Linked DNA regions of Sus scrofa. The protein of the gene in region 1 purifies or fractionates together with the protein of each later gene. This does not show direct contact. Links are inferred from orthologs where the notes say so. Each region holds a gene or a part of one and is shown in the gene's direction. Other genes may lie near its edges.

Region 1 (3,802 bases):
CAGGAGCGCTCAGCAGGTTGATGAAAGGCTGCTGGAGGCCGACGGGGCCCCCGAGAAGGGAGGTGGCCCAGGGCCGGCCGCTGCCTCATGCCTCAGTTTCCTCGTCTGCGTAATTGGCCTCCCTGGGCTGTCCCCGGGTCAGGGCTGGGAGCCAGGCCACCCCACTGGCCACAGGGTCTTGGCTCCCTGCTCTGGTTGAGACCTGCCTGGCCTTGAGCCGGCGCCCTCAGATTCACCGTGTGAAGCTTGGGTCACCAGCTTAGACGGGGACACTGCGCTGAGGCCCCGAGAGGTGAGAGGGCGCGCCCGGGTCAGACAGCGGGGCCTGGGTGGGTGAGTGGGGATGCGGCTGGCAGCCGAGCTCGCTCCTGTGCCACGAGGCTTCTGGAACCACGCGTCTCACCCCAAGTGGCAAAGCATGAGGACAGACAGACAGGCGAACCCATATTTAACTGGCCCTGGAGACGTGCGTTCGGGCCGGGCCGGGCCGCCTGCTGGGGTCCGGCTGTGTTTTCTGCTCGAGCATCCTTCTGGCTGTGATGTGTGGGTCTGGGACCCACCTGGCAAGGCCTGCCGTCCAGGCTGGGCAGAGGCCCCTGCACCCTTGGGGTCAAATGTGGGGGGAGCTGGGGTTCTAACATTCCCAGCCTTGAGGGTCTTTCCCTCGGGAGGAGGCTGGGCACCCGGTGGGCACACACACCCAGACACTGAGGCCGTGGCCTGGCTCTGGTCCAGTCCTCCAGCTGTGTGACCTCGGGCAGGTCAGGGAGCCTCTCTGTGTCTCATCTCGTCCATGAGAGGCGGGCGTTGACAGCACCTACAGGTGTGGGTCTGTATTTGTAAAGAGCTGAGAGTGGCAGTGTTCACGGGAGGCACTGGGTAAATAAAGTGACGGGAGCCGGGAGGGGGTCCAGCCTGCTTGCCCAGGGGGCAGGGGGGAGCTCCGTCCATGGGGCCTCTCACCCATGGGATGCGGGCTCCCCAGGACCCCCCCCACCCGCCGCCAGGGCCTCGGCCGGGCAAGGGATGAAGGCTGCAGCCGGAGCCTGTGTGGCCATCGCTGCCCAGGTCACCGGGGGTGCTGGCGGCATCCCTGTGCCCAGAGCCTGTGGCCTGTGTCCAGCCCTGCCCTCGTCTCGATTGCAGTGTGACCTCATTCCTCCCCAGCCTCCGTTTCCCCATCTGGACAAGGTGGATTCGGGGAGCCCTCCTGGTCCCCCCCCCCGGACGCTGAGCTGCTTTGAACACTTGTATTTTCATTTTCCAGAAACTTCAATGCTCTCAGGAAGGAAAACATTTATGAAAACAACCAATTGGTGAGTGCCCCCTTCCTGCTGTCCCAGCTGGGGTGCGCGGTCCCCAGAGTCCCAGGACCTGAGTGGGTGGGGCCTCCCCGTGCCGCTGCTGCCACCTGCAGGTGGCCACGTGGAGGCCAGGAGCTCGCCTCTGGGCTCTGCAGTCAGTCCAGGCCAGGTGACCCCTGCTCCCCAGAATGGCCCCCATCTTGTAGTGGGGCCCTCCAGGTCCCCTTTTTCTTGGCGGGGAAGGGGTGGGGAGGGCAGGGCCCTGGGTGGGTCCTGGCTTGGGTCTGCTCTCAGGCTGGCCTGGGTTCGAATCCTGCTCGGCTGTCCTGCTGTGGAACCCCTTTCTGTGCCAGCTTGTCTCCTGCTGCACAATGAGCTCTGTGACCCCTGTGGGCCGATGCCCGGAAAGGCAGCCTCCAGCCCCGGCCACCCATGTGCACTGCCCCCCGTGTCCATGCATGCCCCCAGCCCGGAGCTGGCATTCCGGCTGGCAGGTCAAATCTGCGTGCCCAGGGAGCCCCACTCGGCGCGGGCAATTTGAATTTAAATCTAACTTAATTGAGATGAAATAAAATGACATATTCAGTGCCTCAGCTGCACTGGCCACGCTTCAGACACTCACTAGCTGCACGTGGACAGCTTGGAGTAGGTCACATCCACCGTGACAGGGTCGTCGGACCGCCCTGACCCTGAGACAGGATGTGGCAGGAACAGGCAGCACAGGGAAGAGGTGGGGTGTCGGGGAGTGGTGAGCGTCTTCAGAAGGGGACAGGGCCAGCCTTGCTGGCTAAAGACAAAGGTGAGGGCCTGCGGGGTGAAACAGTAAGGGCCACAGCTGGGACAGAGCAGGAGATGGGAACAGAGGCAGAGAGGAGCCTGGAACAGAGCAGAAGGAGGCTGGAACAGAGTGGGGAGGAGGCTGGAACAGAGAGGAGAAGGCTGGAACAGCAGAAGGAGGCTGGAATAGAGGGGGAGGAGCCTGGAACAGAGGGGGGGAGGCTGGAACAGAGGGGAGGAGGCTGGAACAGAGCAGAAGGAGGCTGGAACAGAGGGGGAGGAGGCTGGAACAGGAGCAGGGAGGCTCGGGTGTTTTGCTGGCAGCTGCCACCACTTCCCGGGAGTCTGTGCAGAGAGTGGAGGAGGGGGTGACAAGGGGGGCAGCGGAAGGAGTCCCATCTGGATGTCCTCTGGAGTCAGAGCGATGGGAGGCCTATGTTTCTGGTGTGGAGGCAGGCACTGCTGAGGGCTGCAGGTCTGGGCACCCAGGAGCCTTATCTTGGACACACAGAGATTGCGGTGTCCCTGTCACTGCTCCATGGAGGGTGTGGCAGTTTAGGGTGAGGTTAGAGAGGTTTGGGCAAAATCGGGTGAGGCTGGCGTTAGAGGCAGGAGCCTGGCGTTAGAGGCAGGAGCCTGGCCAGGCTGGCGGGGGAGGGGAGGGGAGCGAGGAAGAGCCCAGCACGCCATGTGCAGAGTCCCCTGGCAGAGGAGGTGGCTGCTGGGGGAACCCCTCCCCTGTCCAGCGAATGTCCCTGTCTGAGCCTCCAGGTCCCCCCCCAGCTCTGGTCCCATGTCACCTGCTGGCTTGGGGAGGGCCCGTGCCATGGAGAAAGCTGCCCCCAACCGGGCACATAAGGGCCATGTTGGCCAGGGCGTCCAGGCTGACTCAGGGGTGTGGGGGCCATGGAGGGGTCTCAGCGGTGCCATGGCACTGGAGTCTGGGAACAAGTAGCTGGGGCCCCTCTGGACTGGTGCACGGCCTCAGCTGCTGCTACCAGGTACCCGCAGGTACCCTCCCCGAGCCCTGTGTCCGGGGTGTGAGTCCTGTGTACAGACGGGTAAACTGAGGCCAAGTACGCAGAGCATGAACCTTGAACCCAGACTTTTCTGGGCGTCGAGCGGGTCTGTTGCCTCGGGGCCCCTCCCAGGAGGAGCTGGTGGCCTGGCTGAGGAGGGGGGAGGGGAAGGGTCCCCCTCCTACCCTGCTGACCGCCCCCCCCCAGGCCTTCCGTGTGGCTGAGGAGCAGCTGGGCATCCCGGCTCTGCTGGATGCCGAGGACATGGTGGCGCTGAGGGTGCCCGACCGCCTGAGCATCCTGACCTACGTGTCCCAGTACTATAACTACTTCCACGGACGCTCCCCCAGTGAGTGGGCTGCCCGGCCCCGCGCCCCAGCCCCCAGCACGCGCCCCTCCCTCTGGGGTCCCTGCCCAGCCCCCAGCCCGCACCCAGTGCTGCTGGGCGTTCGCGCTGGGATGGGTCAGGCAGGCGGGGACCTCTCTGGAGCACACATGGTGCCCAGGGCTGCCGCCTCCTCTGAGGGGAGCCAGGGCCCGGTCCTGTGTGACAAGCAGGGTCCCAGCCCCAGGCCTCCTGCCGCCCCTTGGGTGCACGCACCAGCTCCCCCTGCCCCTCCCCAGGCCTGGGTTTGCCATCTGCACCCCTGGGGGTCTGTGCCCAGAGCTCTCGCCTTGGTGGGGTGGCACCCCGGGTGGGCC
Region 2 (4,421 bases), on another chromosome or scaffold:
AGAATTAGAAGCAGCACCCTGAGAAGGTAAATAGAGGGAATAAAAGAAGCAGGCAAATAACATGGGAAGAGTACAAAGAAAAAGATCTGTGAGAGGAGGTGGTCAATAGTATCAAATGCCACAGAGGCTGAATGCAGCCAGGTGGTCATTGCCTCTGGTTGGTTGAAGCTTTTCCTAACCAGAGCCAGATTAGCCAAAGAATGTGAAGTGGGACAGTGAGGAGAGGCAGCAGTCATCTTTTGTCAAGATCCTTGGGAAGCCTCCAGGCCTGATAGCCCAGAGTGACACATGGCGGTGAGTCCACCCAAGTGATGTGGCTCATCCCTACCACGCAGAAAACTATCTGATCAAGACCTTAGCCTCTGAAGCTGTTCGGTTTGAGTTCAAAAACCAATTTATCTGGTTAAGAGCCTGGGAAAGTCATTTAACCTCTCAGTCTTGTTTTCTCACCGTAAAACTTGGTGGGGGGAAGCGTGAACACACACAATAATACCTACCTCGGTGGGTTGGGGTGTGGACAAAATATTTTATAAATTTTTTTATAAGTGCTGACAACACTGGCAGGCACAGAACCAAAAGCTCTTTAGTATTCCCTCTAATTCTCACTATCCGAACTCTCTCGGCGGGTTCCAAGGCTCCAGGGTGCAACTCAGACGGCTGACTGGGTCGCGGCGGGAGAGGCTCTGGGACAAGTCCTGGGCAACCTCTAAATAGATCCAAGGGAGCATCCTGAGGAGTCCTGCGGACCTCGGGGCGCAGCTTGTGGCTGAGGCCTGGGTGTCTCTAGGAAGATCCGCTGGCCAGCGTCAAGGCCCCGGAGCAAGTCTCGAGGGGGCCTCGTTTCGACTATGACGGTACTTCTGCTCTCCTATCTCTTCGGCTCCGCCCGGTCTGACACGGAAGCCTGCAGACCGCACCACCACCGCCACGCCACATTCCCGCGCTGGACCCGACGCTAATTGAACTTGCTCCGGCCTGGAACAGCAAGAGCCAGAGAACACCCCCACCACCCGCGTGCGCCCTCTGCTGGCACACTACGGCCTTCCCGGCGCGCTTGCGCACGCTCCCCAGACCCCGCCCCAGCTTGAGGGCGCGCGGAGCCGTTGGCCCAGCTGCCCGCCCTCCCCCTCCCATCGGGGGGCGTGGCCGCCCTAGAGTCAGAGGAAGAAGGCGGGGACACAGAGATGCCATGCCCCAGCCTTGTCCCCATTTGAAGCCCCTCGACTCCTCACCACTGGCCAATCGCAGTCCGCCCTGTCCTGAGCGCCGGCCAATGAGCGGCGCCCTCAGGCCGCTTCCGGCTCTGCGCCCTGCTCGCCCCTTCCCCACGTCTTCCTGAGACGGGCGGGGCGCGGGGGCGGGCGTCGGCCGCGGTGACGCGCGGCGGGCCAGGAGCCAATGGGGGGCGGGATCGGCGCTGATGGACTGGGCCAGGGGCCAGTGGCGAGGCGCTGGCCGCACTTCCCGTCGGGGAGAGAGTGTAATATGGCGAAGACCTACGATTACCTGTTCAAGCTGCTGCTGATCGGGGACTCGGGGGTGGGGAAGACCTGTGTCCTGTTCCGCTTCTCCGAGGACGCCTTCAACTCCACTTTCATCTCCACCATAGGTAGTGGGGCCGGGAGCGCGGAAGGCCCAGGCCGGGCTCTCACCCTGAGGGCTGGGACTGAGGGAGCTGCTGAGCGGGATGGACCCGAGATCTGAGAGGGTCGAGAAGGCCGGAGCGGGAAGGAGCAGTAGCCTGCACCGCCCTTTGGGGGTTCCTGGGCCATGGGGCGGGGGTGAGGGTCAGGTACCCAATTTGCAGATGGGAATACTGAGGCCCCAATCCTCAGCCTACTTGTCAGGGAGTGTATGTCCTGGACAGAGTCTTGGCGCCCTGTCATCTTGTTCTTGCATCGGCCCTCGAAGCAGTCTTTGGGGTCTTTGACTTATAAACGTAGAAATGTGGAGTTGTCCATGGGGAAAGGACAGTGACAGGTGACATCTAACTTTATTGAGCTTTTATTGTGTGTCAGGTGCTTTACGTGCATGATCACACTTCCTGGTCCTCTGTGTCAAGTGCTGTTATGAGTTACTTTCACAGAAGAGGCATTTGAGGCTCAGGGAGACTGTACTTGCCCAAGGTCACACAGTCTACTGGTGGCAAGGATGGTATTTGTACCCAGGTGTGTTTGACCCCCCAAACTCAAGGCTCAACCGTCCCAGAGAGATGTGAGCACTCACTCCCCAGGACAAGCATAGCTGATCCATGTCTAAGCCAGGACTCCAACCCAGACCTCTCCTGCTCTTTTATAATGGAATATTCAGGGGTTGAGCCCCCTCCCTGATCCTATTTCCCCTAGAGATGAATTTCTTCTGGAAAGAATGATGAGAGGGAGTCCAGAGACTTTCCTTGCCCAGCTTTCCATCCCACTAGAGGGTAACAGAAATGGCAAGTGACAGCTGTCTGCCCTGGGACCTGTCATCCTGAGGAGATGCCAGATAAAAGCTTCAGCTTAGAAACCAAAATCAGCCACTGCCACAGACAGCCCCAACTTCCCTATCACTAGGGCCAGGACACCAGTTGTCACTTTGCAAAACAGCCTTGCCCACAGGGCCAGCCCACACTGTGGTTGAACAGAACTGACCTGTTGCTTCTCAGTTCTGACATCCACAAAAAGTGGGAGCTGACTTCTCACCAGAAAAAAGGCCATTGCCTGCATGAAAAGGTTTGACTGGGAAGTAACACCCATCAGGCAGAGTGGCCTCTAAGCTCTGCAGCCCTGCTCTGGATGGGGAAGCAGAAGAATGGTCACCAAGCCCAGGGGTTAGAAAAAAACTAGGGAGTAGGTGTTGCTTTACCCCAGTGTATGTTATCTCCCTGAACCCCACAGTGAGCTGCTAATTCCATCCTTGCCAGCCTCCAAGAGCTGCACTTTGCAAGATACTTAGGTGCCAGATGTAAAGAGAATTGGACTAGAACTCATCATGCCTGTTTCCCAGCTGCTGTTCGTCCTTTAACAAGCACTTTGCCTCTCTGAGCCGTAGGACTAGTGTTCTTTGCCTTGGCCAGTACCCTGGATGGTTGAGGATCAGAACTGTATAATGATAAGGGGGTTGTCACCACTGCCAGAGGAAGGAAGCAGAATGTCTCTTATAATGACAGTATTCTTCCCTGGGCACAGATGTTTCTGATTCCTCCCCTTCCCTAACTCCAAGGTCAAATTTTGGGGTAACCCTTCCATCCCCACCTATCAGGAAGTGATATCAACTCCTGGTAGACTGCAGCTCACCCTCAACCCAGACTTCAGTTTCCCAGAGTCAGAACCTTCCTAGTGAGATCAATTCGGAGGTTGAATTTTTTTGTTGGGTTTTAAATTCTTGACCACAAAAGCAAGGCTAGCCCTTTAGGGCTCTGAGAAGGCCGGCCTCCATTTCCAGATGAGGATGTAATTTGGGCAAGGTCATCTAAGGAGGTGGATGTGACACATGAACCCAGAATCCCTCTCTCCTACCCTGATATTCTCATTATATTTGTAAACTTCCTGCAGGCCTCTGTCTTCTAGGAAAGTTTAATTCCCTTTGACCTTGAAGTTATGGCCTCATAACTCTTGGGCCTCATAAAGTTTACACTTCCTAATTAAATTTGGTGTGTTAATAAACCCCAGGAGGAGGGTAGGACAGAGTGATGCTTTGGGCTCTGTTCATTGAACAGAGCTTTTGACTTTGTATGTCCCTATGCCATCTGTCACAGGAGTGGGGATGTTTTAGGAAGAGTTAACACTGCGCAGCTTAGTCCTGAAATACAACCTAATGCATAGAGGCTATTCTCTATCGGCACTGAGCGTACCTCTGAATTTTCTTTATAGATCAGAGATTAAGTGACTCTTCATTTTGTGCCCAGGTTATGTTTTGCCAAAGACTGTTCTCAAGAGCTCCATCGATCATTTGTGGTGTGAACTTGGCCCGGTGGCTCCTAGAGTCAGCTCTCCCTAGCCTGGCTCAGCCCCCATCTCCTCCTCTGGGCCTTGTTCATTCATTCCTTCAGGGAGACAGATGATGTACTTGAAAGTGCTTAGTAAATGGTGCAGCACCACATAGATCCCATCGCTCTTTATTCTTGCATCCAACCATCTTTCCACAGTGCCCACTGCGTGCCAGGCACCCGCCTCAGTACAGGGGTTGCAGGAATGACTTGGATGAATCGGGGGAAGCAGAACTCTAACAGGGCCTGTAGTTAGGATGTGTGTGCCAGTCTGGGTGATCAGCTTCTAGCAAATACATACACAGCACCTGCCTGCTTAGTCACTGAAGATGCAACCATGACTAAGACGTGTGAGCCTCTACCCTCCTGGAGCTTAAGTTCTAGTGGGCAGAATTTAAATGCAGACTTAAATTCCCTGTGATCCCTAGGACAGCTTCTGAGCTGAACAGAGATG

Evidence for each region.
Region 2: the proteins of MICALL2 (region 1) and RAB8A purify together in Homo sapiens (co-immunoprecipitation; 3 studies listed by BioGRID and IntAct, with this or other methods). This does not show direct contact. The link is inferred for Sus scrofa from reciprocal best matches to the Homo sapiens genes MICALL2 and RAB8A.

Annotation. Positions count from the first base shown.
Region 1 is NC_010445.4:960,974-964,775, reverse strand, and holds part of MICALL2 (MICAL-like protein 2), read left to right. Parts: exon of another isoform or gene 1-292; intron 293-1,267; coding exon 1,268-1,316; intron 1,317-3,307; coding exon 3,308-3,449; intron 3,450-3,802. UniProt on the Homo sapiens protein: Effector of small Rab GTPases which is involved in junctional complexes assembly through the regulation of cell adhesion molecules transport to the plasma membrane and actin cytoskeleton reorganization.
Region 2 is NC_010444.4:61,447,391-61,451,811, reverse strand, and holds the start of RAB8A (ras-related protein Rab-8A), read left to right. Parts: upstream 1-1,460; 5' UTR 1,461-1,485; coding exon 1,486-1,609; intron 1,610-4,421. UniProt on the Homo sapiens protein: The small GTPases Rab are key regulators of intracellular membrane trafficking, from the formation of transport vesicles to their fusion with membranes.